Alligator mississippiensis: one gene and its partners. Each later gene encodes a partner of the first gene's protein in a complex. Links are inferred from orthologs where the notes say so. Each region holds a gene or a part of one and is shown in the gene's direction. Other genes may lie near its edges. The genes, in order: CALCRL, RAMP3, ADM2 and RAMP2.

Evidence for each region.
Region 2: the proteins of CALCRL (region 1) and RAMP3 are in contact, whole or in part, in a cryo-EM structure (PDB 6UVA), measured with the Homo sapiens proteins. The link is inferred for Alligator mississippiensis from reciprocal best matches to the Homo sapiens genes CALCRL and RAMP3. Residues at the interface, in NP_001258680.1 of Homo sapiens: Arg38, Asn39, Met42, Thr43, Gln45, Tyr46, Glu47, Tyr49, Gln50, Met53, Trp69, Asp70, Ser117, Arg119, Thr120, Phe228, Leu231, Ile235, His238, Thr239, Val243, Val245, Lys249, Gln250, His251, Trp254, Tyr255, Phe257, Leu258, Phe262; in NP_005847.1 of Homo sapiens: Trp56, Cys57, Leu59, Phe62, Ile63, Tyr66, Glu67, Thr70, Cys82, Tyr83, Pro85, Asn86, Pro87, Leu88, Gln90, Ile93, Thr94, His97, Arg98, Cys104, Thr105, Val106, Asp107, Arg108, His110, Leu111, Glu112, Asp113, Pro114, Val118.
Region 3: the proteins of CALCRL (region 1) and ADM2 are in contact, whole or in part, in a cryo-EM structure (PDB 6UVA), measured with the Homo sapiens proteins. The link is inferred for Alligator mississippiensis from reciprocal best matches to the Homo sapiens genes CALCRL and ADM2. Residues at the interface, in NP_001258680.1 of Homo sapiens: Val36, Thr37, Lys40, Asp70, Gly71, Trp72, Asp90, Tyr91, Phe92, Gln93, Asp94, Phe95, Asp96, Pro97, Ser98, His114, Ala116, Ser117, Thr120, Trp121, Thr122, Tyr124, Thr125, Asn128, Thr131, Lys134, Val135, Ala138, Leu139, Leu141; in NP_001240774.1 of Homo sapiens: Leu106, Arg107, Val108, Gly109, Cys110, Val111, Leu112, Gly113, Thr114, Cys115, Gln116, Val117, Gln118, Asn119, Leu120, Ser121, His122, Arg123, Leu124, Trp125, Gln126, Leu127, Met128, Gly129, Pro130, Ala131, Gly132, Arg133, Gln134, Asp135.
Region 4: the proteins of CALCRL (region 1) and RAMP2 are in contact, whole or in part, in a crystal structure (PDB 3AQF), measured with the Homo sapiens proteins. The link is inferred for Alligator mississippiensis from reciprocal best matches to the Homo sapiens genes CALCRL and RAMP2. Residues at the interface, in NP_001258680.1 of Homo sapiens: Arg38, Asn39, Ile41, Met42, Thr43, Gln45, Tyr46, Glu47, Tyr49, Gln50, Lys51, Ile52, Met53, Gln54, Trp69, Asp70, Gly71, Arg119; in NP_005845.2 of Homo sapiens: Trp86, Ile89, Tyr93, Ser94, Arg97, Leu109, Gly110, Pro112, Glu117, Ile120, Phe121, His124, Gln125, Phe128, Ala129, Cys131, Ser132, Leu133, Val134.

What each region holds. Positions count from the first base shown.
Region 1 is NC_081827.1:200,841,331-200,848,664, forward strand, and holds the start of CALCRL (calcitonin gene-related peptide type 1 receptor), read left to right. Parts: upstream 1-4,323; 5' UTR 4,324-4,387; intron 4,388-7,334. UniProt on the Homo sapiens protein: G protein-coupled receptor which specificity is determined by its interaction with receptor-activity-modifying proteins (RAMPs). Together with RAMP1, form the receptor complex for calcitonin-gene-related peptides CALCA/CGRP1 and CALCB/CGRP2.
Region 2 is NC_081828.1:117,398,052-117,405,353, reverse strand, and holds the start of RAMP3 (receptor activity-modifying protein 3), read left to right. Parts: upstream 1-4,285; 5' UTR 4,286-4,556; coding exon 4,557-4,608; intron 4,609-7,302. UniProt on the Homo sapiens protein: Accessory protein that interacts with and modulates the function of G-protein coupled receptors including calcitonin gene-related peptide type 1 receptor (CALCRL), calcitonin receptor (CALCR) and G-protein coupled estrogen receptor 1 (GPER1).
Region 3 is NC_081827.1:1,946,106-1,953,599, reverse strand, and holds the start of ADM2 (protein ADM2), read left to right. Parts: upstream 1-4,486; 5' UTR 4,487-4,506; coding exon 4,507-4,610; intron 4,611-7,494. UniProt on the Homo sapiens protein: Intermedin/ADM2 is a peptide hormone that plays a role as physiological regulator of gastrointestinal and cardiovascular bioactivities mediated by the CALCRL-RAMPs receptor complexes.
Region 4 is NC_081827.1:152,179,035-152,186,297, forward strand, and holds the start of RAMP2 (receptor activity-modifying protein 2), read left to right. Parts: upstream 1-4,260; 5' UTR 4,261-4,305; coding exon 4,306-4,369; intron 4,370-7,228; coding exon 7,229-7,263. UniProt on the Homo sapiens protein: Accessory protein that interacts with and modulates the function of G-protein coupled receptors including calcitonin gene-related peptide type 1 receptor (CALCRL) and calcitonin receptor (CALCR). Required for the transport of CALCRL to the plasma membrane.

The sequences.
Region 1 (7,334 bases):
TCATAGCTCACATGCTGTAAAAATATTTTGCAGTTTGCAAATATGTCTGTACAATGCTGCTGGTAAAACATTTCTAAATGTCTCCCTCACCTGTGTAGGGATTGTCAAAATGCTATTGACTGTGATTTATTCAATGGCATTGCTGCAAAGTGAATTCTGATGGTCTGAAATTATGCTTCTCATATCTAACACATTAATGATTAACTAGCTCCAACTGGCTGTAAGAGGGCTCACTGTAAGAGGTCTGAATAAGAGCTAACAGTTAGGTAATCCCATTTAATGAACAGTTAGTTCTATTAAAATTGGTTGAAATCTATGAGACCATTCCTCACAAACTGAAAAGAAATTTATCAGATTATGAGCATTTTCAAACTATACTACATGGCCCTTCAGCAGAGTCGGATATTTTGCAACCCACTTTCAGCTTTGTAAATTAATCTCTAAAATATGTAGTACCATATTAATCAAGCTGGTTAATTAAGAGTTAAAATGGATCTGCTCTTGTAAGATGCAGAGTTCTTCAGAAGTCAATGGGGCTTGCAGGTGATCAGCGTGGCACAGGAAGAGGCTCTCTATGCTGATCCATTTGAACCATTATTTCAGTCTGAGATTTCCTCTTTCTTTGCCAACATGCTTGCAGGGGATTCAAGTTAATGAAAAGTGTGGATAACTTCTAGCTTGTCCACATGTTGGGCTGAACCAAACAAAATCTTTGCCTGGGGGTTTTAAAGTTTTGAGTCCTATGCTCCTAACTCTTTGGAAGACTGTAACTTTGTTTCTCTAATTTGCTATAAGTCTGTCTCCAAAAATAAAAAAAGTAAAGATTATTTGTGATTTATTTTTGATTTTCCCCAGTATAGTGTATAGATAATACAGCTGGACGGTGCATCCAGGATCCCCACATGTAGATGACCCTGAGCATTCTGGTTCAAAAGTAACCAGAAATATAAATGTCCTGTCATTAAACTGTCATTTTGGGGGTTATTTCAACCAGTTTAAAACCAAGAAAGATAACTGAGAGAGAATCTATTGACATGAAATAGTTACTCTAATGTTTCAACCAATGAGGTTTAGGTAGACATCTGTTCCTAAAACTGTATGTCCACTATTGCACATTTTTAAATGACTCAGAAAGCAAATTGAAGTTTGTCATTTTTTTCTGGAAGATCTCTTCTTGTACAATCTAATCAAATATTGCTACATGGTATATACCCACTGCAGGAGTTCTGTGGATGTGTTAAGTATGCCTACACAAATAAGGCTTTGCCCCAAAGTATACAATGGGCACATCTACACATGCATTAATGCACCAGACTTATGGCGCATTAAGTTTAGTACCTGTTATAGCAGGTACTAAACTTAATGTGCCATAATCAGTGCTACTGTGCAGTAGCACTGGCATGCCTTTTATGTGACGCTAATGCATAGTAGACTAATTCTACTGAGCGTTAGTGCATTAGTATGGCTTTTACTGTGACATGCTAATATGCAGTAGAATTAGTCTGCTGTGCTTTTAGCATCTTGTGTAGATGCCTCCATTGTTACATACATAAAGACTCAAGCCTTAAATAATGTCTTATAGAGAAAAGCTTATATATATATTGTGCGGGCCGGGGGTGATCCGGGCCCTTTTTCGAGCCGCGTGGGCTGTGGCCAGCAGCCCGGGCACGCTGGATCGGAGAAAACAGGCGACACGCTAGAATTAGTCACGGACGCTTAGTGGTTGATTCAAGATTGTTTACTTACACCAAAGATGGTCGCGGTGTAGTCTGGACAGTTTCCCAGGCACAGCTCTGATTAAATCCTCGTTTGAGGACTACAACAAGCTCGGGTCTCTCCCACGGAGTTGTTGAGGCTCCGTGGGTCCTTTTGCACACAGGGAGAGGGATACGTCGAGGATTGTGAATGGCGACGGGGAGAGGCTAGAGGCTGTTGCCTGCTTTAAATGCACTGGGTCCGATAGGCTCCGCAGCGCTTAGAGATCTTCACACAACGTGAAGATCCCTCCTTCTGGTGTTCGTGGAGTCCTCCAACTTGGGCGGAAACCACTCAAGCTTTTTATACAGCTAGCAAGCCAATCACTAGCCGCCACGTGTGAATAATTTCACGCAAGCCAATAATGGGGTTCGAATTATCATACAAATGGCGGGAACTCTTTGCAATGAGCATTTCTTAACTGCAAAGAAGAAATGCACACTGCAAAGAAAGCTACAAATTGGCGGGAAAATAATTCAGTGGTGCCAAAGCACACACAAAACAAAAATCACACCCTTGGGCTGTGCCATCCCCCCTTGCTGAAGGCACAACTGAATTATGCTGCACGCTTGTCATTCGAGTGATCCAGAGCTTATCATGAGTCATCAAACAAACAAACAAACAAACAAACAAACATAAAATTCCCCAACATAAAATTCGCTCTCCTGGGATTGAGTTGCACAATAACCAACACAAATACACATAATCAGATTCATAACAAAAATTGCACGATTAGGGCTTCAGTGGGCGTCATGACAAAGTTGTACGTCAGGCCCTCACTTCTTCAGACGATGTCATCCCTCTCAGGGCTTCTCTTCACCATGCATTCTGAATTCTGGATCTGTAAACAAAAACTCTCAAAAAAAAATAGGTTAACGCATCTCAACATATTTACAAAGTTTCCATGGAACTCTACTATAATACAAGTATTCATCACCCTAAACTACCCTCTCTTGTACACTCAACTAGATGAAATTGTCGAGGAGCCGTCATCTAGCTCTTCTAGATAACGGAAACCTAACTCATAGGCCAGTTGCCATTGACCTGTGTCCCCTAAAATCCGAACTTGCCGCTTATTGAGTCCAGAATGCTGTAGGAGAAATCCAAACATGTATCGCTCTTCTGGTGTTCTCTGTGGCAATGATGGAAGATCGGATTCACGATGTCTTGTGCCTTGAATCTCGGTCGGGTGTCAACAGTCCAGATCAATAGGTAATCTTGGCTCCATTAGGATACGCAGTCGTGACAATTGACGAAGGAGATTACACACGGGTTGGTTCACCATTGGGTTAAGCAGAATCCGGAGGACGACGATGTTCTTTCACCCATAAACCTCAAGACAACTATCTAAGCTGTGAATGGTTACTGGAACAGTTCCAGGATCTCGTAGATGACGGTGAGGCCGTGGTCTTATTCGCTGGAGTGATGTCAGTCCCAGCGCGCACGCTCTAGGGTTCCAGGCACAGTACAAGACTCCGATGATTCCTAGCATGAGATGCTCTGCTCCGGTATGTTCTGGCCAACCTTCATGCCATACGTGGGCTTTTTGACCGATCAGTCCTGCAACAAGCGCTGGCAGCGGAATAGGCCAGTGAACGTTGACAGCTATCATGTCGATATCAGTGGCATGTCCTCTACTCCATGAAGCTTGTCTGACTAAGAAGCTTGCTTCTTCCTGGTTCAGCAGGTTGGATCCAAGTTCCATGACTAAACGTCCCAACCATACAGCTAGAGTCTCTTCAGGTTGGATTCTTGATTCTCTGCACAAATCCTGTAATTCAGTTCTGGCGCGAGCATAGTAGGCAGTAGCAACTCGATTAGTCGTTGTTGTAGGCTGAACTGCCGCTGCGGGAGTCACTGTTGCTGTTACTGCTTCAGGCAGGAGGGGCGGATGCACTCCCCCGCTTGACTCTCTCTTTCGTCGGCAGGAAGGCGTGGTCGGCAGAGGCATCGCCGCATCGCTAGGCGGGGTTGCTGGAGACGACGCTGCATCAATGGGCGGAGTTGCTGACCGAACTCTCGCGGGTTCCTCCGAAGCTCCACCCTTCTCTTCTGGTTCTTCCACGCGGTCTCCCTCTTGCTCGGCGCCATCTTGGGCTGGCGTTTCAGGATCCCTTCTCTCAGCCGCTTCTTTGACCGCTTGAACAGCCATACGCAGCTGGGCCTTTAAACTTAAATTCTTGTTCATTAAATCAGCAATTGTACGGAAAGTTGCACTTAATTCTCCCCCCTTGTTGTACCACGGGGCCACCCTCTCATCTGCGGTGCGTTCCTCCGTCTCCAGATCTTCGTGGAGCTCGGATGGAAGCTCGCGACCCCTTAACCTAGACGCCATGAGGGGAGGGAACTGGCCGATTGGCACCGGCTCTTCACTCTCCCAAGCATATCGTAGGCATCGGGCACACTCCCGGGTGAGGGTCGGGTTCACTGCGCCCGCCGGATTGATTCTGGCGAGGGACACAGTATCGAGGGGCCTGAACAAGACCCGCTCGTTGCTCATTATGTACCTGAATGCCGCAGGGAGCAAATACACTTCTCTCTCTCTCAGGGCTCCGTCTTCGGAGGCTCCCTCTTCTCCCTTCAGCGAAAGGCGTCCGCTGACAAATCTCTCACCCGTTCCACCCGCCTGGTGGTAAGTGATATGCAGCTCCAGTTCATCAAAACTTTTCACTTGGCGTTTGTTATCACGCCAAGGGCAGTTCGTAACTAATTCTAGCTCTAGCGTGTTCTCTCCTGATCCCATCCTCGTCGCCATGTGTGGGCCGGGGGTGATCCGGGCCCTTTTTCAAGCCGCGCAAGCTGTGGCCAGCAGCCCGGGCACGCTGGATTGGAGAAAACAGGCGACGTGCTAGAATTAGTCATGGACGCGTAATGGTTGATTCAAGATTGTTTAATTACACCGAAGATGGTCGCGGTGTAGGCTGGACAGTTTCCCAGGCACAGCTCCGATTAAATCCTCGTTTGAGGACTACAACAAGCTCAGGTCTCTCCCACGGAGTTGTTGAGGCTCCGTGGGTCCTTTTGCACACAGGGAGAGGGATACGTCGAGGATTGCGAATGGCGACGGGGAGAGGCTAGAGGCTGATCAGACCTCTGTTGCCTGCTTTAAATGCACTGGGTCCGATAGGCTCCACAGCGCTTAGAGATCTTCACACAATGTGAAGATCCCTCCTTCTGGTGTTCGTGGAGTCCTCCAACTTGGGCGGAAACCACTCAAGCTTTTTATACGGCTAGCAAGCCAATCACTAGCCGCCACGTGTGAATAATTTCACGCAAGCCAATAATGGGGCTTGAATTATCATACAAATGACGGGAACTCTTTGCAACGAGCATTTCTTAGCTACAAAGAAGAAATGCACAGTGCAAAGAAAGCTACAATTTGGCGGGAAAATAATTCAGTGGTGCCAAAGCACACACAAAACAAAAATCGCACCCTTGGGTTGTGACATATATATATATATATATATATATATATGTATTTTGTACTAAGTAGGGTAAAAGGATAGATGTTCAAGTCCGGGGGGGGGGGGGCGTTAAATATAAAGTGTGTTTTTATCTTTTTTGGCTTTAAAATTATTAGTTTCTAGAGTACAACCAGGATTAAATTTATTCTTTTGAGGAAGAGAAAAAAGTAAAAGCAGAAGGAGCTGATGGTGCAGGCAAGATGTCTGTACACAGAGAACTGGGGAGAAAGAAATGGAAGCATCTGTTAAAGCTATATGAGCATGATTTTCTGGCCACATTTAGCCTACAGTTGCCACACAACTTTCTGCAATAGATGCCTCTGCTATCAATGAGGCACACAGTAAAGAGAAAAACAGGCAGTTCATGTGATTTGTAAGTTGTCTGATATTCAGTAAAAATAAGATACAAGTGTGATATTTGATGAACTGAGCTACTGTTGAAATGTCATTACATTATTGCATGGGGGCAGTAATGGGGCAGTCAGTGGAGGGGTGGTAGGGAACAGGCAGTGTGGAGGCAGTGGGGCAGGCAGTGACAGAGGCTGGCAGCTTGCCACTTGCCCCCCCCCACACACTTGTCCCCCATTGTACCTCCCCCCACCCCTGCAGCCTCAGTTTGCCTTGATTCCCCCTTTGCCTGTTCCCCCCTCAAGTCCTTTCCATGCTGCTTCTGTCTTTTGCAGCCTCAGATCCCTGCTCCACCTTCCCCCTGCCTGCCCCTTCCCCTTTGCTCTGCATTACCTTTGCTCTGCATCACCTGGCTCCATCCCTACTGTAGCCTGGGGCATTGAGCATAGCTCCAGCCTGGCCCCATAGCAGCAGCATGGAGCTGGCACCCAGCACTATACATGATCCAGGTTGCAGTGAGGGCAGAACTTGCTGGCACGGAGCAAAGGTAAGGAGAAGTGCAGCAGAGCAGAAGAAATGGAGAAGGGCAGGGGGAGGTGCGTGTGTAGAGGCAGTGGGGACTGGGGGGGGGGACAGAAAGCAGCTGTGGTTGTGGCTGCAGCTCCAGTTCCACCTCCAGCTCCAACCCCAGGTTTGGGCCAGAGCCACCGCAGCTGCTTGCCCTCCTGCTCTCCCACCTCCTCCTCTCCTGCCACCACACACTTCCTCATAATTGACTGTAAGACAAGGGTCTTTTTTCCCATGTTAAATGAGCAGAAAACCCTTTTGTAATAATCAAGTAAATACGGTATTCCATCTCTAATGTGTAAGTCAATAATCAGTGGCTAACTTATTGAATCTCCCTCCAGCATGGAATAGCCCGAAAGGGCTCATGGTGCGAACATATACTATCTTCTGTAAAGCTGCATTTTTACTGGGCTTATTTTTAATATACTGAAGTTAATTTCAACTCCCAAATGATACCTGGTCTCTTTCATTATATGATTGTCAATTACAGCCAACACACAGCTTGATAGCATCAGTATGTTATCCCCATATTATTTTTTTGGGTTGCTAACCAGAATTGGTGATAAATGGAGTTTATTTTCATAGTAAAAATGTTTTTTGATAAACATCAAACCCAGTGTTTTTGTCAGAAACAGTATTTTAGTCAAAAAAATGAATTTCTTAAGTTCTAAAATACCTCTGCAGCACTTCCTAGGAATTGCTTTTTGGGTTCCTCATGCTCCCATTAGCTTCTATATAGTCTTCCTGGTTGGAATTCACTTTCCACAATACATCCAGTCTCTACTTTTGGGGAAAAGTAGTACATCAAGGCAGTCACAAGGTTACAATAGATCTCCAGCTAGAAGGGCCTGGCCGATAGAGGCAGGTACGAGTATGAGGCAACCAATTCTGACTCCCATACACCAATATTGCAGCATTTCAGTGTCAAAATACTAGTTTCTGGTCAACATATATACATGCACAACATGCATGTTTGTTTGTTTCTAAACATTCACTTTTAATTTTTACTAAAAATCAACATTTTTGACAACCTGATACTTTTGTGAGAAAGTATTTGTTTGAAAAATCATATATTATTGAAAAAAAAATATTTTTGATGGGAAATCAAAAAATATTTGATCCTCCTGGCCTTCCAGCCTTACAATCTATGAATCTTATATTATCTTCAGGGCCTCATTGGCTAGGAACTAACATTACACA
Region 2 (7,302 bases), on another chromosome or scaffold:
ATATCTTGCGTAGTTATAAACGTTTTAGGTGTTCATGTTCATAAAATTACTCATCGCCTATAATAGAATTAAAATCTAGCAACATATTTATCTAGCAACAATCTGCTTCTATATTGTTGTGTCATTCCTCATAGGTCTTTGGTATTGAAGCTACTGCCTGTCTGCTGTGCCATTACTACTGTTTTATTTGGTAGTCATTAATAGAATTTAAAGTAGCACTTGTAGAAATTTGTTTTCAGTATCTATGGGCACTGACAAATGTGACTATCTGTCGTACAGTCGGCCACTGAAAGCACTCTACAGCTGTGCACTGACAGAAGTTCACGGCTGCAGAGCACTTTAAAAAATGCCAGATCACATGACAATCTGAACCCTCATTTCATCGGGGTTTACATGAGGGCACTCCAAAGTGGAGCACCTTCATTAATGCCTGTCAGCGTGGGCCAGGAGCAGGCCTAAGCTGACACAACCCAACCCTGCTCTGGGAATTTTTTTTCAGAATGGGAGGGGAGGGGTGGGGGGGGAGTGAGCCAGCTGGAGGGTGGGGTGGGTGGGTTGGAGTCCCCCCTGTCCCTTCACTCCAGGCTGGGGAAACCCCAGAATTGATCTCCCTCCCTTGCCTTATCTCCTCACCCTCCCTTATCCTAGGATAGCACTGGAGCTTGGAAAGGAGGGTGGGGTTAGGGGACAGACATTGCAGACAAGCAGCCTCTCTCCCCAGTTCAACTCCAAAGTGGAACTCAACCCCTACCCTCCCAATCCAACAGCAAATGTCTGTTGGGTTGGGAGGGTCAGTTTACAACTCATGGGGCTTTCTGTGAAGCACCATAGTTAAAACGGGAAACTGCATATCTGCCAGTGCCCTCAAAGGCTGAATGCTCGACATGATGCTGCTTTCTTTGGAGGCAGCCTTTATAGGAGTTGCAACAAATCAGGCTTTTCAGATGATAAGGGGTATGACATTTTAAGTACATAATTGCATAATTGGCATCATAGGATTTTTCATTTGAAGGGGGTAGGGTGTGTGTGTGTGTGTGTATGCGTGCTCTCTCTTGCACTCTCTCACACACACATGCACACCCCCCCTCGTTTGTATGAGAAATGTTGTCATTTCTTACTCATAACTGCCAAATATAAATTTCACAGCTTTTCTGAAGAAGCAAATTAGTTAGCGCTATCAATATTAATGGTTTGAGAGAGAGAAGTTTGTGTTACGAGGGGAAAGCCCATACATAATTACAGTGACATTATGAAAAAAGTGTTAATTTTATAGCATTTCTGTTTACAAGCTGTTCCCAAATACATAGACATCTAAGAATTATTCATTTTAGTTCAGTGTGCTGAAAATGTCAGCTTAAGTAGCTGGCTTATGAATTTTAAATAGCTTTACCATCTCCAAACTAGTGTGCTTGCCTATAAATTTCAGTTGTTCTGTACTGGAATTTCACTGGCATTCCATGAAGTAAACAGAAAATGTGGAACGTCTATTGAATTTTACGAGTTAAAAAAAGAATTATTTCACATAAATTTGCTACTACTGTTATGCAGGATATCTTCTCTCCTGAAGATGTATGAACAGAAATACTTGCTGCATTATTTACAAACAAACTGTAGTTCTAGATCAGAAATATTTGTTACATTTCAGCAACACTTCTGTACCATCTGCCATAGAAACTTGGATTTCCTTAAACTATTAAGCACCATACATCCTACCACTTGGGAATATTAATCCTGGCAAAATATATGATTTGTAAGAGAAATTTGAAATATGACAATCCTGTTCCTTATTATTATTACTGTAGGAAATATAATGGTCATTTATTACAGACTAGTTAATCAGAACTTCCTTATGATAATGGGATGGCTTTTGGATTCTCTTGCTTCTCCCAAAACACAGGTGCTTGCTAACTACAGCATTGCTGCATGATCTCCATTAGCTATTTGTTATCTAAAACCTTAAATATTTCATTGACTCCCCTTTTATCAATGGCATGTGCAAAGTAAGAAATTCATTATTCACAACTTCTTTAAAAATTAATTGCAGATATGTACTACAGTGTCTTGGACTTTTAATTTAAAGGTTAGATGAATTCTTTTCCATTTTTCTCAATTTGGTTAATAAAATAGCATGGTCAGTTTATTTTTTTGTTTATAGTCCATTTCATTTTCAGATGCACATGCAGTGCGCCAATGTTAAGTTTGAGTCACAAATGCTGCCTGGGCCTTTGAAAATTGTGCAGAAACACTGTTTTCATGGCATTGTTTGGTATGAGAGGAAATGCATTCTCATGTGTGTGTACATACATAAACTCATGGAAATCTATGCACAGATGTGCACATATTTGCATTAGGTTGTATAAAAAAAAGAATGTACTTTTGTGATTAATCTTGACCATATCAGTGACCATGTTTTCCTTTACTACTTAAATGTAATTCTCCAGATGCAGTTCTTCTGCTTATCTAGACATACTTTCTGGCTGTTTATTAAACTGACCAGCATAACTGTTTTTGGCTGTCTTGGTAAGTCTCCAGAAAGTGTTTTTTACTTCTTCCCCCTGGCCTTTCTTAGCTAGGATGCTAATTTCCCAATACTTATAGATCAAAAAAATACACAAAGTTTAAATATTAATGAAAATGAGCAAATAAATCCCTCTGGACGTGGCCATGCTAAGATGAAATGGCATCATTAAAATACATTAAGCCCTTACTTAAAGCCCTAGCTATTCTGTTTTGGAATATACCTTTCATGAGCACCACTGCTGCCAAGTTGCAGCACTCATTTGCAAATACATATTCACACTTCAGCTCTGTACACCGGGGACTCAGCTGCAAGGAGTGAAAGCAGCAAGTTCTATCTAGGATTTCTTGAGGATATATTGACAACATTTCCTAAAAGCAGGATGTTGGCTGCATGGTACCCCTTCTTTATTTGTGGCAGGGCTGTGTTGGCAGAAGTCTTATATAGAGTTTATATTATGGATTGTATAGGAGAGTTTGGATAGGGATGATCCTGCCTCAAGCAGGGGCTTGGACTAGATCAGTGGCTCATAATCTTTTTTTGAACTAGGACCCATTTGTAAACATTGGGCAGGCCTGACCCACTTAAATAGTTTAAGTGAAAAAACAGCCCCCAGGCCCTGCCTGTGCCCCTCACTCCTGACCCAACCCTGACCCTGGACCCCCAGTGTTTGGGGCAGGGGGAAGTATGTGGGGTGGGAGGGGGCCCAAGCAGCCCCTTGCAGACTGGAATTCTGCCAGCCTGCAAAGGGAACCCATGTTTCAAAAGAATCATAGATGTCATAGACATTAGAGCTGGAAGAGACCTCCTGAGATCATCAAGTCCAGCCCCCTGCCCAAGGGGCAGGAAGTCAGCTGGGGTCAGATCACCCCAGCAACATAAGCATCCAAGTGTTTCTTAAAGGTATCTAGAGTAGGTGCTTGCACCACTTCTGGGGGGAGTCTATACCAGACTCTGGAGACTCGGTAAAGAAATGTTTCCCTATGTCCACTCTAAAACAATCTTCCAGCAGATTGTGACCATTAGACTGTGTCTTCCCTTGGGGTGCCCTGGTGAACAGCCATTCTCTTAGTTTTTTTCTGATGAACCCCCCACAAAAGAGTTACTATTTGATATCCCGGAGATTTTCCCACACTTTTCTCCTTTAAAGGAGAAAACATTTTTAAAGCTTTTTGTGGCCTTTTCATATATTCCTGCGACCCACGGGTTAAGAAAGACTGGATTAGACCCCTGGAGGTCCTTTCCAGTCCTACTTCTCTATGAGTCTGCAACTCCAGGTGCTCCTCTGCATCATCCCAGTCTTTAAAATATCTTGGCAGAGGAAGCTTGTGCCAAGATTGCCCCTGCTTAGGGGCAGGCAGTCCCTTGAGAGCTCTGGATCTTGCTGCCCTTGGTCCTTTCCTTGCTGAAGGAGATGCTTGGAGGCAATGGATTTATTCGCCAGTGAGTGCCCCAATCTCACTGGAAAGGAAAGGATGGGAAGGGAGGGTAAGTGCAGACTAGGCAGAGGCTCCCTAATCACAGAGGCTCCACTAGAGCCTGTGTGGCATCAGGCACATCATGTCCCTGGGAGGCACAGAGGCACAGAGAGCAGTGCATGCACCCCCAGCTCCCTCCTCAGCTTCACTCTCCTGCTCAAGCCCTCCTCCTCCTCTAACTTCCCATCGGCTGCCTTGGAGGATCCCAGAAGAGCCACAACATCCTCCTCCCAATCTAGGCGGGCTGGAGGAGGCGGGGGGAGCATAGGAAATGGGAGTTGGGAGTTCACTGGTGCCGAGAGGCTGCTGAGCAGATCACATCTCGGGACAGAGCGGAGGAGGAGGAGGAGAGGGGCTGGGGGAGAGATCGCACGTCCCATCCACCCTTCCCACCCCTGCGCTTGCCGCTGCTCGGGCTCTGATGCGGAGGAGCCGCCTTGCCGGAGAGATCGGGGTTGATCCGAAGTGGCTGCGGACCTGCCGCCCTTCCTCCTCCTCCCCATGAGGGCTCTTTCCCCCAGAGGCTCCTGGTTGCTTCCCCTGCTGCCTCCGGGGTCGGGATGGAGACGCCTGCTTTCTGGCTAGTGCAACTTTTCCTCTGCCTGCTGTGCGGTGAGTACATCCCTGCCGGGTGGGATCAGCTCCGGCAAAAAAAAAAAAAAAAAAAGGGGGGGGAGGCAGGGAAATGCAGGGCAGCAGCCCCTGCGGGGGGAGCAGCACTTCAAGCAGGGGTGCTAATGAGTTAGCAATGATTTGCTGGGAAAGTTTGAGATTTAACTCTCAGCCTTAGTTCAAAGGGGAATGACAAACCACCCTATGAACTTCACTACTGGAGACAAAAAGTCAGCGCTAAACATAGAATTGGATTTAGGGTATATTATAACCTGCCTGCCATCGGATACCCCCCAGGTAACCTGTCTGCATTTTACCAGCTACGTTTTATCACCAGCTCAACCCCCCGCATCTACCTGGGTTCTCACCTCTTGTCTCCCATCCCCTCTGATTCTCACTGCCAGGCATTTGCATTTTCACAGACTTTGATTTTGCATACTGCCTTCTATTCAACCCAGGAGAGCACTAAACCTGTTCCAGCCTTTTGCACTGAAAAGCCCCATACTAGTCTCCCAAAACACCAGCAGTCTCCCAATGCCTGAAGAAGGGTGTTTGTGCCAGAAAGCTTGCAAAAGACCATTTTTTCCAACTATTTAGTTGGTCTAATAAAAGGTATCATATCTACCCAAAGAACCTCATCAGCCTTAGTTCTATTTCACTAGCAGCTCAAGCATTTCTGGGTTTCCCTTGGCAGGAGAAAGAGATCAACTTCTCTCTCCCTCTCATTTTTTTTCTTCTCCCCCCCCCCCCCCCCCCAGTATTTTAGGCTGGTGATTTTTTCCCCCCCTTGCTGGAGAGGCAGAGCCCTTCCGGAGTGGTGATTTTCAAGCAGGGTTTATTGCAACCTAGGAGGAAAACCCTAATAAAACTTCCACCACCTCCTTCCCAACTCCCAAGCTCCCTCGGGATCGTTCAGTGACAGTCTCCCATCAGAAAGGCCTGCTGTGTTTTGGGAGAGTAGTAGGGGTCTTTCCAGTGCAAAAGGCATTTTTTTTTGCAGCAATATTAATTGTTCCAGAGCAGGCTTCGCTGGTGATCTCGGTGGCTGGAACTCTGTTTTGAAAAGAGAGACTGCAGAAAGGCTCTGTAAGATACTGACCCTCCTTATGCCCGAAGAAGGGTGTTTGTGCCCAAAAGCTTGAAAAGAACATTTTTTTCCAACTGTCTAGGTGGTCTAATAAAAGAGATCACATCTACCCAAAGAACCGTGTCTGTAAGATACTAGATCTTGAGAGAGGACTTTTCAAAGAGCAGAAGGAATCTCTTCCTGGTGAAAGCAACCCTGGGACTGGATCTGTGATAGTGTCTTGTGAGGAGAGAAGATGTCTCCAGGCTCTGCTTCCCTCTCCCCATCCCCACGCCTTATCAATGAGTTGTACAGTGTCAGATGTGTATATTTTGCCTCCAGTGTTGGTGATGCTGATGCTGCGTCTGGCAGGGAAACGCCTTCTAATTGCACAGCAGATGCTTGATGTGAGTTCCAGAGAGCAAGAGGGAAATAAACACAGTTTGAGACCAGACCAAACAAACCATCCAGAAAAGTGTTAACCGAATTGTGGCTGTTGTGGATGCTTATGCACAAAGCAGATGGCTTCCCCTCCCACACCCCTTTGTTGCAATGGTCCAAACTCAGGTTGCACGTTTCCCTGAAATATAGTTCAAAATAATCATCTTTGATGTGGCAGCACGCGCGCGTGCGCACACACACACACACACACACACACACACACACACACACACACACACTTTGCCTAGGTCCTGCAGCAGACAGACACACATGGATACATATATACATATGTACACACACTTGGATGCCTAGATCCTGCAGCAGAAACAGGCACACACACATGGATGCCTAGGTCCTCCAGCACACACAGATGCACACTTTGATACAGTATTGCCAACCCCACCATGCCAAAAATCATGAGATTGGCATGTAAATCATGCAATGCTATTTTTGAAGTGTGTGTGTGTCTGGGGGGGGATGTTATTTGTGAAGGTGCGGGGGACTGTGGGGGTGTGTGTGGGGTTTGGAGTCTGGAGAGGGGGGTCCCCACACACCCTGGCAGGAGGCCAGGTACTGTGGGTTAGGAGTGAGAAGCAGCAGCTGGGCTGGGTGGGCTGTGGCTTGGGAGTAAGGAGCAGACACGCAGAGACATTGACATATACACAGACAATACCCAGCTGGTAAGTGGAGGGAAATGGGTAGGGGGGGCCAGATCGAGGCATGGGTGAATGGGGCCCTGGGGCCAGGCCAGGTCATCCAGTGGCATGGCAGAGGGGCGTGACCCCCCGCAGCAGTGCACACCCCTGGGGAGGCATGGGGCACGTGCCCTCTATGGGACAGAGGCAGGCTGCCTGCTGCAGGCTGGGCTCTGCTGCCTTGCACCAGGAGCTCAGCTGTGCAATACTATTGCCACCTGTTAAGCAGGCAGGGGACATGAGGTGTGCTGGCTGCATGGCTCATCCCCCTGCCCCCTCGTGGCAGGAGGCACACAGGGCAAGGCAGCAGGGTGCAAAGCCCCAGCTTGCAGTAGGCAACCCGCTTTGATGCCCTGAACCTGCAGTGGACACACGGGCACACGTGCACACACACATTTGTATGCCTAGATCCTGCAGCCAACATGCACATGGACACATGCATACATGCTTTGAAGCCTAGATCCTGCAGCAGACACATACACACATACACGG
Region 3 (7,494 bases), about 200 Mb from region 1:
CTCGTATAGGAGGAGCTGCAGGCACCTGTCCAGATGGGGGATGCGCGGTGGCGGCTGGAGCGGTCCTTGCACTGCTCCTCCCTATCTCTTTCTCTGTCTCTCACACATACAAAACCCCCGCTCTCCTTGCTAGGGGTTACCCTCGGTCTTCCCACAAGCACCAAGGTAGGTTTGTATCTTAGCTGAAATGCTAGAATAAATCTTACGTTACAAAAAACTCCTCAAGCAGTAGGGATGCTTTCAACACTGGATGCTGGAAATCTCTGGGATCATCCCGTGAATCGCGTCTGCACACCTCAAAGGGCTAATGCAGCATCCCCTGGTTGAGAATCACCGCTCTAGCGTCTCTTCCAGCCGCCTCTTGCGCTCCCAGAACGGGAGCCGGAGGCCTGGCCTGGCTGCGAGCGTGAGTCAGCAAAGAGCTGTGCAGGTCCCCCGACGCCGGCCGGGAACCAAAGAATTAGGAACGTGAACAGGAAATCGCAGCGCGAGTCTCAGCTTGGAAAAATCCAGCTAATCCACAGAGGAGAAGCCGCTGCAACCCCACGTTGCAGGGCGGGGTGGGGGGGCCATCCCCAGCATGGGCTGCACCCAGCACCAGCGCCTCGGGGGGAGGATTCAACCCCCCGACACATGGAGCAGAAAGGAGTGGGGGCAGCTAGCACAGAGGATGCTGCCACTCTCTCAGCCTTGTTAGACTCCCTCCCCCCTCGTTAGACTTCAGGCCCCATCCAAACGCGCCCTCCCGCCGAGGTCACTCATTTCTTAATGATGTAAAACTACTAGATCCATTCCCGGGGACACCGAGTTCAGCGAGGCCACAGCAAGGCAGGGAGTTTATAGCACCCCAGAGTCCTCTTTCTGGGTTTACCTACTGAATCACATGCAGGCATTTGCACACTTGGCAGTGCTCATCCCACACACCCACCACACCCTTACGAGGGTCCCACAGGGCCCCAGGGGGGCTGCGGCACCTGGTCGAGAGCTACAGGTCTGGCGTCCGAGTTGGCAGCTCCCAGGGGCCAGCAGGACTGGGACAACCTGGACGGCGCTCACACCGGGTTTGGAGAAGCTGCTGCAATCGTCCTTGTGCCTGGGCAGTAGTGACCCTGCCTGCCTGCCTGGGGTGACTCAGCCGCAGGTGGGAGCTGAGGTCTGACCGAGCCCGTGGGGAGGACGTGTGGGGCGTGAGGGGAGGGGTGCGGTTCCAGGACACAGACCAAGGGGAAAACCTGGCGGAGCTGGACGCGAGAGACGTGCGATGCAGTCATCCCTCCTCGGGCCAGGGTGGAAAGAGCAGGCGGAGCCTTGGCAGGGAGCAACGTGGAGAGCTTGGACCGCACAGGCCGGCCGTCGGGGGCGAGGAGCATCCTGAAGAGGGGTCCTAGAGTCATAGACCCCTGGAGCCGGGGGGCTGGCAGGGAGCTGTGGGGTCCCATCCAGCCCAAGGCAGGATCAGCCCCATGTCCGAACTCGGAGTCACTGACACAGCCCCAGGCATCGCCCCCGCCCCCACCCCGGGGGTACAGGGGGGCCGCGGCCGCTAACATCCTGCTGCTGCCAGGGGGTCATGGACACTACACTGAGCCCAGGCCCAGGCTGTGCCCCCACTGCAGAGGAAGGCAACCCCCCCCCAGTGCAACCAGTCTGAGCAAGGGGGAAATCCCTTCCTGCCCCAGTGCAGCGTGGGGCTGAGCCTGAGCGCAGGGGCAAGACCCTCCAGCCAGGACCCTGCGGGGTGGGTGCAGCAGGAGCATCGGCACAGCCCAGCCCCAGCCCCAGCCTGGGCTGCAGCAGCACCAGCATCCCTGGGGGAGGGTTAAAAACTCCTGAGACAAGGGAAAGCTGCATTGCTGGCAAGGGCAGAAGTGGGGGCAAAACCTCTGAGCCAGGCGGCACCCTGTGTCCCACCTAGACCAGGCTGGGGAGAGAGGTGACACCATCTCCCCAGGACCCTGCTCCACGGCGGAGCCCCCAGTGTAGGAGCCGGCATCATGGCGCGGACACCGGCAGTGGGAGATGTGATGTCCTGCATAAAGCAACGCTCCTTGCAGTCGTGCCTGCTCTCTCCTCAGGGCAGCACCGGTACCTCCCCCCTGCCGTGGGTGGGGTGTGGTGGGGTCAGCTCAGCCCAGAGGGGCCCGTGCCCCCTGCTGTAGAGGCACAAAGCCCCCATGGTCAGGGTTGGCCTGGTCTGGAGGGACAATCCTGCCTGGCCCCAGGTCAGCGGGACCCCTTGTGAGCAGGCATGGCCTCCGAAGGCACCCAGCATCCCAGCTTTCATCACGCCGGAGGCTCAGCTGCCCCCATCAAGCCGGACCATCAAGCTGGTGCTCTCGTGATGGGCAGTACCCCAGTAGGGTGGCTGCCAGGTCTGGCCACCTCCTTTTGCAAAGGTTGGAGGGGTTCGGGACAAGTGACAAGAACCTCTCGGGGCTTGGGAATAATCCAGGGAAGGGGGAGAGGAAAGACAGACCTGGCCGGTTCACAAAGGAGCTGGACCTTGGTGCAGAGGGGCCCTGGGTGGGTGGCGAAGCGGCACGTGGCATGGAGCAGTCTCCGCATCCAGGAGCAGCCCGGTGTGCCCTCACCCACCCAGCGCAAGGGAAAACATCCATCAGCCAGGACCACTCCGCTCTGAGGCCGCGGGTTCGAGCTTCTGTCGGAGACGGGGCACGGGGCCACACGGGGTTGTTAGGGAATGAATCTCACATCATGGATTATAAGGCTGAGAGGAGTGGCTGCAACCCTCCCGCCGGCTGCGGAGCTGTCTGGAGGCACTTGAGCATCCCTGTTTGGGCCAGGGGTTAAAATTACCGGTGGTGGAAAATCCCCCTAGGTAACACTGGGATCCTGCATCGCTGCTCTGTTTTACCTTGGGGCTTGTCGGGCTTCACTCCCGGGCCCTGGACCACGTTCTTCCCTGTCCCGCGAGGCTGGTGAGCCCCCTGCTCTCGGGTTGCAGCCACCTACCTCTTCCAGGGATGCTCTCTCTGGGCAGAGCCGAGCAGTAAGAGGGGTCTCTGAGCGCTGGCACCTTCGAGTCCTTTCCTGCTGAAAGGTGAGGCTGCGGGTGCTGGCAGGAGACTCAGGGGCTATGGCCGGGTTGCCCCGTGGGATACGGCCTAGGCTCCGTGGTCTCCGAGCCAAGGTTTCAAAGACCCTGGAGCCTTTCCAGCTGTAACAGTGAGATGAGCCCAGGGTGGAGACCAGCAAGCTGAGCGCTGGCCTGGATCAGATATTTCAGGAGAGAGAGGCCGGAGGCAGGGAGAGACGGTCCTGGGGGTCAGGAGGGAGACGAGGGGCAGGTGGGAGGGGGCCGTGAGCAATGCCAGGGACGTGAGGCTGGCTGGAAAACCTCGGCCGACTCAACAGGGGAATCAGAGCTTCCACCGCGCGGCGAGTGACTCGGGGCTCAGCTCAGCGTTTCCGGCTCGGCCGGAGGGGGTGCTGACAGCAGACTTTCCGGCCTGGAGAATTTGCCCCCAGGTTTCCCCGGCCTCTGGAAACTTCCACCATGTTCCCGGCACACTGCCCAGGAACTTTCCACCCCTGTGGCCCTGTGGGACGCCGGGCCCGGGGAGCCAGGGAGGCCGCCAAACCCTCTTGCCCCATGGAAAGCAGGATGTACCAGCATCACAGGGCTGAGTGCCGGTGGCAGCGATGGGGGCAGGTGCTCCCAGAGGCCTGGAAGGGGGACAGGGTGGTTTAGTGGTTAGAGCAGAGCCTGGAGCAGGGGGAAGAGCTCCTGGAGACCCCTCCGTCACATGGGATCCCCAGCCCCTGCTCCCCACCTGCCCGACAGCGTGGGACAGGGATCGCTCCCAGGTCATTGCTGCCCGTGCTGCCAAGATCATGACTCCGGGCCCGTTCTCCAGCCATCTCCCATCCCCGGTTCATAGCAGCTGTTTTCCCAGCCCCATTTCCTGGGATAATGCGGCCACAAAGTGCCGGGAGGTTCCCGCAGCCCACAGGAATCCCAGCCGGGGGGGACGAGAGTGACCGCGGAGCCGGGGGACCGAGCCCGCGGCGCTGCTTCGGAGCTGAGCGATGACAACAACGCTGGGGTCCCCCCGCAGGTGCGCAGCAAATCCCCCCGCGTGGGGCAAGGCGGGCGACTGGAGCCTTGGGGGGAGGAATATGAGTGATGCGGAGCACGCGGGGCCTGGCCCCTCTGCATGGGAGCGGGGGGCCTCGCGGACCAGGACCCGCGGGGACCCCCGAAGCGGCCGACGCGTGTCCCGGGGGTCTGCCCCGCGGCGAGCCTCGACCTGCGCGCTCCGGGGGGCCGTCCGGCCCGCGGGCCGAGCGGAGCGGAGCGGAGCGGAGCCGCCCTCGCCTGGCGCCGGGCCGCGGTGCAGCGGGGCGGACACACGGACGGGCGGCAGGTGCCCGGGGCGGAGCGGCGGCGCGGCCCGGCCCAGGGCTCCTCCCGCGGCCGCTACTTAACGCGGAGCGCCCGCCCGCCCGCCCGTCCGTCCGCCCGTCCATCCATCCCGCGCAGCCATGCGGTGCCCGCCGCCGCCCGCGCTGCCCCGCGTCAGCCTGCTGCTCTGCCTGCTGCTGCCCGCGCTGCCGCTGCCCCTGCCGCTGTCCCTGCCCCGCCGCAGGTGAGTGCCGCCGGAGCAAGGCGCGAGCCCCTGCCCCGCGTGCAAGGGTGTGCTCGCGCCCGGGCAGGAGCCGGCTGGGTGTCTCCGGGGACGGGGGAGCCGCAGCCCCGTGGCCAGGCAGAGTCCGGCAGAGCCCCGCCGTGAAGCTAGGGAGAGGCTGGGATGCCCGGGGCTCTCGGAAGAGGGCTGGTGGCCGGGCTCTGGATGCGGGGTCGGATCCTGTTCTGGGTCGGGGGGCTCCGGGTCCCAGCGCGCAGGGCTGCAGGGCTCCGTGCGACGTGCTCAGTCACGGGCAAGTGCCCGGCTTTCTCCCTGGCCCGGGTGTCACGGCTCCCGGGGGACGAGCCGTGGGCAGGGGAGGGACGGGGAACCCCGGCAGAGGGGCTCTTCAGGCCCCAAGCCAGTGGGCAGGGCATGGTGTTCCCTCACCTCCAGGTCTTGACCCTCCAGGGAGCATCTGTGCTGCCAGCTGTCACTTCCCAGGCGCCGGGGAGAGGCCGGGACAAGTGTGGGGGGCTGGCTGGGGCCAAGCTGTCCATCCATCTATCTGTCCGTTCATCCGTACGTCCGTCTGTCTGTCCCCAGGCAGGACTGAGGGAATTCCTTCCCATCCCCAGGCTGGCCGCGCTCTCCTGGGATGGGGCAGCATCTCCCAGGGGGACACGGCGAAGCAGGGTTTCCTGGGTGCCCTCGTCCCCCCAACATCTCTTGGATGGAGAGGGAGGGAGGCAGCACCCAGCCCCGGGGCCCTGAGTCTGGCAGGAGGCACCCGGTGCTGAAGGCAGCACAGGGCAGGGGTGGGCTGCAGCCGGAGGCAAGGTGTGTACGTGCACTCAGCGGGCGTGTAGAGGTGCATACGTGAGCCCAGCCGGCACGTGGGCACCGGGCTCGTATGTGCTAGCCCCTGTGGGCGGCTGCGCATTTTGCTGTGTGTGCAGGCGGAGATGCGTGTTTTCACATGCACGTGTAGGCAGGTGTGTGCTGCCATTCCTGTCGGAGGGGTGTACACGCAGGCATCCATCCGTGTGCCTGCGCACATGCGTGTGAAGGTGTAGATAGATGGGAGACAGGTGCCCAGCTGCACATATGGATAGGCAGGCACGCGTGTGCATGCAAGTGTGAATGCATGGGGGTGTGCTCTTGCAGGTTGCGTGCAAGTGTGGATGCACTATGGGGTGCGTGGGGGATGGGTGCGGGGAGAGGATGCACAGGCATGAGTACATGGGTGTGTGCACCCAGCCTGGGCACTGAGGGAGGTGGAGATGGGCACGGCGGAGGCAGGGCTGCCATGTGGGGCAGGGTGGAGCTGTGAACGCCCCCCAAACTGGTGCACTGGGAGATGCCTCGAGAGCAGTGACCCCAAGTGTGCGTGCAGTGGAGCGCGGAGGGGGCAGGAGGTGGCAGGTCGCTGCCCGGGCGTAACGAGGGTTCACGGAGCCGCGGCTGGGCCCTGCCCTGCAGATGTGGGGCGTTAGGGTGGCTGTCAGTAGAGCCCCGAGACCACAGGGTTCCCGTGTCCGGGGGGTCATGCAGGGTCGTGGCCGTGCTGGGGGATCCCGTGCCCATGCCTGCTTGCAAAGCCGGGGCCAGCTGGGTGCAACCCCCTTGGTTAACCCCGGGGGGTGGGAGCAGGGCATGGGGTATTTGCAGGCTTCTGGCATTGGCCTTGGGGCCTAGCTATGTGGGGTGGGCTCTCCCAGTACAGTTGTGCCTGGGGGGCTGGGCACTGGTGAGGAAGCCCCCCCTGTAGTACGTGCCGCCTCCCTGTGGCGCATGGGGTTGTGGCTTGCAGGTGGGGAGCTGGAGGCATTGGGGGGTGGCAGAGGAGGGCTCTGGGAGCAGGGGTCCGTCCCAGCAAGGCATGCTCAGGGGGGAGCCTCCAGGTGCAGAGCCAAGGAGCCGTGTTGGCCCCTGGCGACGTGCCCCAGCCGGGCAGGACGTGGCAGGAGCTGGGGCAGGGCCTCTGCCACCTCCCTCCCCTCTGGGCCGCGGAGGATGTACGTGTGCCGAGGCAGGTAGCTGCTGCGGCTGCCCTTGGCCTCCCGCCCTCTGCTGCCGGCTCCTCGGGTCCTCTCCACCCTGGCGCCGTCCTGGCAGGGCGCCAGATCCTCACCCGCCCGGGCCTCCGGGCAGTGAGCTTCCTCGCAGTGGTGCCCTGCTGCTGCCTCCAGTGCTGTGAGCTTCCTCGCAGTGGTGCTCTGCCGCTGCCCCCAGCGCTGTGAGCTTCCTCGCAGCAGTGCCCACAACTCCCTTGCTTTCTATAATCCCATTCCCTTTCCTGGGCTACCCGGGTCTCTCCCTCCCGGCCCTGCAGCCCAGACCCGTCTTTCCCTGGGAAAGTGCAGGCCAGGGGCGCGCTGGCCCGGCCACGGCGTACAGGCTTTTTCCCCGGGCGGGGGCTGTGTCCTGCGTGGGGATGGTGCCGGCAAGGGCTGGGCTAGGGGGAGGCTGGAGCACCTCTCTGCACAGCTGGGCATGGGGTTCGGGCAGCCCCGCTCCTCAGGATACCTGTAGAGCTTAGCAAGGTGCTCCTGGCTCCCGGTTCCATGCTCGGTCCCGGCTCTTGCACCAAAGCCTCCTGGGATACGCCGTGCCTGTGCCGGCGCTTGCTCGGCTGCTCGATGCCCCCGGCCCCGTGTGGGGCTGAGAGAGCTGGGCTGGGCCGGGCTTCGCGGAGGGGCACCCCCAAAGCTGCCTCCTCCCAGCCCCCGCAGGGAGTGAGAGGCCGGCTGGAGCCGCGCCAGAGTCTCTCCCTGCCTGAGAAAGGCTGCGCCGACGTGCTGGGGGGGTGAGGGGGAGATGCCCAAGGCTCCGGCTGTTCCCTGCCCTCGCGGAGCCTCCCTCGGGGACCGCTGCGGCCACAACGAGCCCCATTGTGCTGGCC
Region 4 (7,263 bases), about 49 Mb from region 1:
TCCTGGTGCATGCAGTGCTGTATGGCACATGCCATTTGGTTGGGTAGTGTGCTATGTGCATCCCCATCTGATGTATACAGTGTGCAGCATGCTGGGTGCAGCACTGTCTAGTGTGTGCAGCACAGAGCACCTGGGGGAAGTACAGCACACAGTGACAGGACAGAGGCTGGTTTCTGTCACTATCACATGCCGGGCTCTGAGTTTCTCATCGCCCCTTGAATGGCTGCCAGAGGGACCCAACTCCAACTATTCAAGCTGCTCTGAGCCACACACAGACTCACATCCTCTCCTCTCCTTCCTCAGCGCCTACAGCAATCTTGCCAACTGCACGGAGCTGCTGGCTGAGGCCCTGGCCTGCCCATGGCCCAGCCCTACTCTTGATTCCTTCTTCCTGCAGATCCATATGGAATATTTCCCCAACTGCACAGCAGCTGAAAGCTCTGGGCCCCTTGAGCCTCCCGTCAGGACTATCCACGCTCTGGCCACTCTGTCGATTTGTCTGACCCCCCTCGCAGTTGCTCTCACTCTCCGCAAAAGCAGGAGAGCTGAGCCAGAACCATAACGGGACCCAGCCTCACCCCTGTGTGCTCCTTGTACCCTTCTCCAGGCTTAGGAGACAAAGGACATTGTACATAACAGCCTTAAGGACAAATCAGAAAGGGAAAGAGTGTCCAGTGCTTCGAGCAGAGGTCTGTGAACACAGGCCTGCTATAGGGTAGAGTGTTGGGTCTAGCAGGGAATAGGGCAGGGGTGGGCAGTTACTTGGGCCCATGGACCACAAAGGGAGTTTGTTGAGGTGTTGTGGGCCAGGTTAGCACCCCCATCCTCATACAGCAACTGCACCAAAACCTGTGGGCAAGCTGGGAGCAGTGTTCAGGAGTGGGAGGGGCAAGCAAGGCCAGGATCATGGGGCAGGGCAGAGCCATGATCTGGTGCCCACACACCCCTGTGATGAGAGTGGGTTCCACGGGCAGAGAACAGATTGCAGCTCTGCCCCAGCCTGGTCCCCATGCTGTCACTGCCCCAAGATCCCAGGGTCTCCTCAGCCCATCCCACTTCCAAACACCACTCCCCACCAGCCTGCAACCCCAACCCAGCTGCCTGGCTAAGCACCCTCCCCCTGTCGGTGGGTGCAGGGTGGAAGGGCCAGGGTGCCTGGCCAGCGGTGCTGAATCCAGCAGCTGCACCATCCCAGCCCTGCATTGCACCCAGGCACATGTCACAACCTGGATTCCCCCCGTGCCTGGGCCAGGCGGGGCTGAGGAACCCATTGTGGGCCAGACAAAATTGCTCCATGGGCTGGATCCGGTCCATGGGCCATATTTTGCCCACCCAAGGAATAGGGTCTAGTACAAGTATCAGCAACCTATGTCTCACTGGCCATCCCAGCCCACAAAGGGACTAGATGTAGCCGGTGATGGTCCAGTTGGGCCCATGGTGGCACAGGGGATTGGCAGTACACAGCTCAGCTTGGCCCAGTGCGTCCTCCTTCTCCACTCTGCACTGTGCCTCCTCAACATAACACAGAGTAAGTCCTCTTGGAAACAGAAAGGATCCAGGAAGCATGGCATTTTAGGAGATAATCTGGGTGGGACCAGCAGGAACTTCCTGGTGTGGCAGGACCACAATAAGGGCAGACCCCAGACCTTGCAAGGGCAGTAGGGAGACTGTTACCTCTCTAATGTCAATAGTTCTTTAAGTACATAATCAAGAGAGTTGTTTGCACACCAGAAGCCTCAGCAAGATGCTACCTGTAGCACCCCGCGTAGTCCTCCCTCCTGCTGTCTCTTTGGCTCCCTACAGCAGGCACTGCTTATTGTTGCTGCCAAATTTGCTCCTCCCCATTGCTGCTGGTGGATAGTGGGCACCAGCAACATACAGTGCAGGTGGTGGAGGTGGGGTTCATGACAGAGACAGCAGCAGGCAGCTGGGGTACTGTGGAGGGGCATGCTAGGGGGGAGCAGTGGTCCACAGCAGCAGACAGGTCGCAAATGCTTGCCCACCCATCACTGTGTAAAGTCCCCTGATCTAATGTGTATCTGGAGCCAGCTGAATACAGGAGGGATCGGGAAGACACCAGGATCAAGTTTAAAATAATAGGGGTGGGACTGGACTGGAGGTCAGGTCTCCTGGGCTCTACTACTAGATGTAGGTGGGAGGGGAATGGGGCCCAAAGGCTCTCTAGCAAAGGGTTAGTCAGGACTCTGGGGTCCTAGCCCTGAAAGTGTAGGGGGGAGATGAGGTCCAGTAGGTTACAGTGCAGGAGGCTGGAGGTCAGGACTCCTGGGATCCATTCAAAGCTCTGCCATTGACTCACTGTGAGACCCTTCCCACTCTGCACCAGGGCCTTGGGGCTTGCTCTGTGGTTCTGTGCTGACTTCTCCAGGTCTTGCTGGGAGGGGCTGGAGGCTGAGCGCCAGGAGAAGTGTTTATTGTTCACTCTGGTGTGGGTTCTCCCTGCCCAGAAAGGCTCCAGCCTAGATGGAGAAAGAAGACTCCCTGCAAGCCTGGAGGCACAGCCTGGCCCCTATCAGTCAGGTAGCACTGACAGGCATGACCAGGAGGGTGCAAGAATACGAATGGGCTCCTCTCCACCCCTGGCTCCCCTCTCAGGATCCTGGCACTTTGGGATCACGTTGTCATCAGCCTGCCACTCACTGGTCACTTTGCCCCACTAGAGTTCCTCCTCAGGGATCAGCAAAGAACATGGTGTTTGCCTGGCAAAGCGAGGCAGTCGGGCTTGTGGAACTGCTCCAGCCTGGATCTGTGCACTAGGGACTCCTCCACGGCCAGTCCTGGCTGGGAGCGTCACACATGAGTGACAAGCATGGCCCTGTTCAAGCGGCAGTACTCCAGATGACATCAGTGGGTGTTGCCTTGGCAAGGAAACACCATCTGCAGAACTCGAGGCTCGGCTCCAAGTGTGCAGACAACAAAGAATGGGATCGAGGGGCTCTAACCCCTGAGCACACCCCAGGAGTTTCATGTGCGGGTCATTATGTGTTCCAGATGCGGCCACTCTCCCATGGAAGATCTTGCAGTGTCCTGGAACAAGCTACTACTGCGCAGCCCAGAGACAATTGGCCCATTAGGCAAGGACATTTGCAGGGAAAGCACAAAACGCAGAGTGATATTATCTTTCCAGTGCAGGGAGGGTTCCTCTTAGCTGCAGTCCTTTTGCCCTGCAGTTTACACACGGTTTGTGAGCTCCACAAACTGCCTGCTAAACAGGAAACATTAGGCTCAAATTCTGCCTCAAGCCAGAAGTGAGATGAGTGTGTCTGGTCTCAGCATGTTTCCCCCTACGAGCACATCACAGAACAAATACACTGTGCAGTGTCATTCGGACTAGCCATTCATTTCTGTTTGTGGTAGCCCAGGGCTGGGCTAACAGGGGCTGGGGGCAGGAGTGAGGGGCACCAGCAGAGCTGTGAGGTTGGGGAGCCCAAGGCTGGGCAAGCAGGGACCAGGAATCAGGAGTGGAGGGAATCAGCAGAGCAATGGGGTGGGTGCTTGCTCTTTTTTCTTGCCTTGAGCAGCTGCTGGGCTCCCCCACTTTGGTAAACACGAATTCCCCCAGGGTTTTCTTGTGATGGTGTGAGGCTTCCTGGCACTTTTGGGGGCGGGGAGGGGGCAACAAGTGCTGTCTTCCTCACTGCTTTCCAGGGGGCTGGAGAGGGTGGAAAGATTACCCCCTGAGCAGTGGTGTTCAGACTGGGTTCAGAGGTAAATGCTGAGAGATGGTCTTGAGGTAGTAGCAGCAGACATAGGGCTGTTGGTTTTGAAGCTCCCCAAACCTGCCTCCGAGCCTACAAACTGCATAGCTCACTAATATCAGTGCCCAACTGAGATATTACACTTTCCCCATCCACTCCCCCGGGCTGCCTGCTCTCCATGCAGGAGACTGGTGATTTCACAACCCAGCCCAGACAGGATTAAAGTGAAATACACAAACAAATAATGGGCCTTGTAAAAGTTTTATGTGCTGTAAAGGGAGCAGAGTTCTCCCTGCCACTGGCCAGATGTGTGGGTAAAGTGACAGAGGTACCCCAAGGCTGGGGCAGCTCTGGGTGGTGAGGATCGGTGCCCATAGGCGCCAAGCACACACCTAGCAGCATGGGGGCCCAGTGGTTGCACTGTTCTGACAAGAGTCCCACTGGGAGATCTGTTTTAAAGCAGCACTGAGTAATCTCAGTTTTCACACGTCTCCTGTAGTAGATACCACCCCTGTCAGAGGAAAGGAGTTGCTTCCTGTTATTTCCATTGAAATACTTGTCCTGGTCATTAGCAGGCAGACTTTGTAGGATGGCACTATGCAAAGAGACAGACTCTGGCTGCCTTTCCCGGGGGCTCCTACTGCTGCTCTGGGGTAAGTGCAATTCTGGCTGAGCCCAGCCCGATGTGGGGCTGCCTGGGGCTGGCTCTTCTCCCTGCCAGGGGCCTTTAAGGGGTGGAAGGGTTCACAGATTTGGGCTATATGACATGTTAGATTTGGCTGCAGCCTCTCTGAGCTGTGACCCCTGCTGAAGCCTGGCTATATTCACCTCTTTTTGGGGTGGGACTGCAAAGTAGGGGAGCCCCAAGTGCAACTTTGCAGGAGCAAGCATGGCTTCTCCCCTTCCAGCAATGTGCCCTCTTTACTGACTCTAGATCAAATATTCTCTCCCTCTGTGTGACAGCCTCCAGCCAGGGGAGCTCTGCATGGCAGGGCAGTGCGTGCTGCTGACCAGGTTCAGTGACCCCTCTGTACAGGGGAGCAGGGAGAAGGGCAGGGACAGCAGCCCCAATGAAAAGTGGGACAGTTCCTGAGCCTCTTCTGGAGACGGCAGCACACAAATATAAAAAATGAATCACTAACCCACAGAGAGGAGAAGGCTCCGGGGAGTCCTTTTTACCTTTCTGAGACAGGGCTCCTGGGCTTCAGCACCGGCTCTGGCTCTGACGACCTGTGTCTCTATGCCTCGGTCCCCCCCTGTGTGAAGGGGATGGGAATCCAGCAGGAGGCTAGGCTGGCAGGGTGCTTGTGAGCAGTGGGAAGCACGTTTAGCACACGTGTCTGGTGCGAGTCCTGGCCGTGGGGTTGGTGTGCGTCTGTGCAGGGGAGCTGCTTGCGAGAGCTCTATGTGAGCATGTGTAACATCATGCTTCTCCTTGCAGCTGAGCCTGCATCATGGAAGGTATGCAAATGCTGCTGCCTGGCTCTGGGCACCTCTTCCTGCTTCCCCTCGTTTTCCCCTGTTTATTATCATCATGACCATTAGGGACATTTGGGATGGCAAAACACGCACTGAAAGGTCCCAAACCTGCAAGCCTCTGTCTGAATCAATGGTAGGATGACCTGCCTGGGCCCTGGACAGAAAAGTGCTGGCGATACTTTGACTGTGGGCACCCCTGTCTTCCACCAGTCTGCCTGCCCTCCCACCTTCCCCTCCCCAGGGGCATGCAACTTGTCACTGAGCCTCAGACTTGCTCCCATGGCAAAACTGTGGTGGGAAGAGGAAGTACTGCTGCCTGTGAGATCTCATAAATGCAAAAGTAGGTAGAGAAACAGCAAGTAGCCAGATGTCCCTTAGCCCTGGCATACCACAGACCAGCCCCAAGCCTCAGCATGCCACAGACTGGATCCCCCAGCACTGCCAAGCAGTGAGCCAATCCTGCCATCTCTGGAATGGCACTAACCAGTCCTCCCAGCCTTGCAATTTCAGGGACTGGACTGTCAGTCTTGCCATGCCATAGAGCAGCCCCCACTGGGCAGTGTACCACAAACAGCCCCCAACCCACTGCCTCCCAGCTCTGCTGTGTCATAGACCAGGTCCCCATGAGGAAGGAAAGGTCAAGAAGACAGCTTCCCTAACCCAGGTCCACTTTCCAGCCAGACCGGCAAGGTAGGCTCATCTGCTCTGCACCATCACAGTGGGTGCTGGCAGCCAATAGCAGTCCAGGTCATGAAGACCGGTTTCTTCTCTCCCCTGAAATCTCAAGGGAGGTTTAGACATGGCATTGTAGGAGGAACAGGTCCAGCCACTACCCTAGGAAGACAGTGAAGCATGTGATTAGGGGAAAAGCTGGGTTGTACTTATATACCTTATCGCTGCTGATTACTATTAATATATTAGCATAAACTCTTCCCTACAATGCATATTAACGAGCTGATTTCCGCTTGCCATATATGGTTACCTTTAACTGGAATTTTTTTAATTCTGAGGTAATCTTTTTGTTCTTAGGTGGCAGTAGGATTTTGCTCTGACTGTTCCTCTTTTGCCAAGTTATTTTTATTCAGTTTAGTTAGCCAACTTCCTGATTAGCTTTTGGTCATCCAACCAGGATCCTTCCAGATGTCTTCTTTTCCTTTAGCAGGGACAGGTCACGGTCAGGGTGACCTGTCTGTCACATTTCTGCTGGGTTGCAGCTAAGAACAAGCATGCAGCAAACAGACAGTAGTCTCTTGCCAATTGCCAGTATTATCAAGCTGGGCCCAGAAGCCTTTGGGTCCCAACACCTCCCAACCCAGCTCTTCCCCTAATTACATACTTCACTTCGATTGTCCCCTCCTCTTTCCCTTTCTGCTCCCAAGCTTAGCCTTAGAGCTACCTGTCTTATGCCCAATTCATCTCCCTGTGGAATTGGTGCAGGGTGGTACCCTGCCCAGTGCTCCCAACTGCTGCAGGTGCTACGTGCCTTTCCATGGCCAATGCACTCACCATGCGTGCAATGCCATGCCATGCCGTTTCATTTGCATATAGCCTTTACTGCACCCAAGAGTTGCAGAAAGAAGGATGTAGCAGGGAGCAGTGGGGATGCTGGGTGAAACTCTGGGGCCAGGGCAGGAGGGGTCCTGAGCACCGCTGTGCCAGCTGAGCTGACAGCAACAAGCATTTGGTTCCCTGTAGCCATCAGGCTGCCCAGAACCATCTGGGTACCAAGTATCAGAGGCTGGTTCTGCAAATCTTGACCTCTACACTACTGTTGACCAAGCCCAAGAAATATACCACCTATGTCACTAGCCCCGTGCCTACAGCTACCCCCAGCTTCTCCCAAACATCACAGGCCAGAGGGTGCTTTGGGGCAGTGCCCAGAGAGACAGAACTGCAGGGATGGATGAAGCAAGTCCTTACAACACATCTCCTTTTGAGTCCAAGTCCTGCCTGGAGCAAGGGACTGATCTACATCACCTGCTGAGCTCCCTTTCACTCCTGTTTTTCATTCTTTGATTTTTCATCCTCCCCAGTGGCTCTTGGGAGCAAGGTATGCCATGGTGGGACT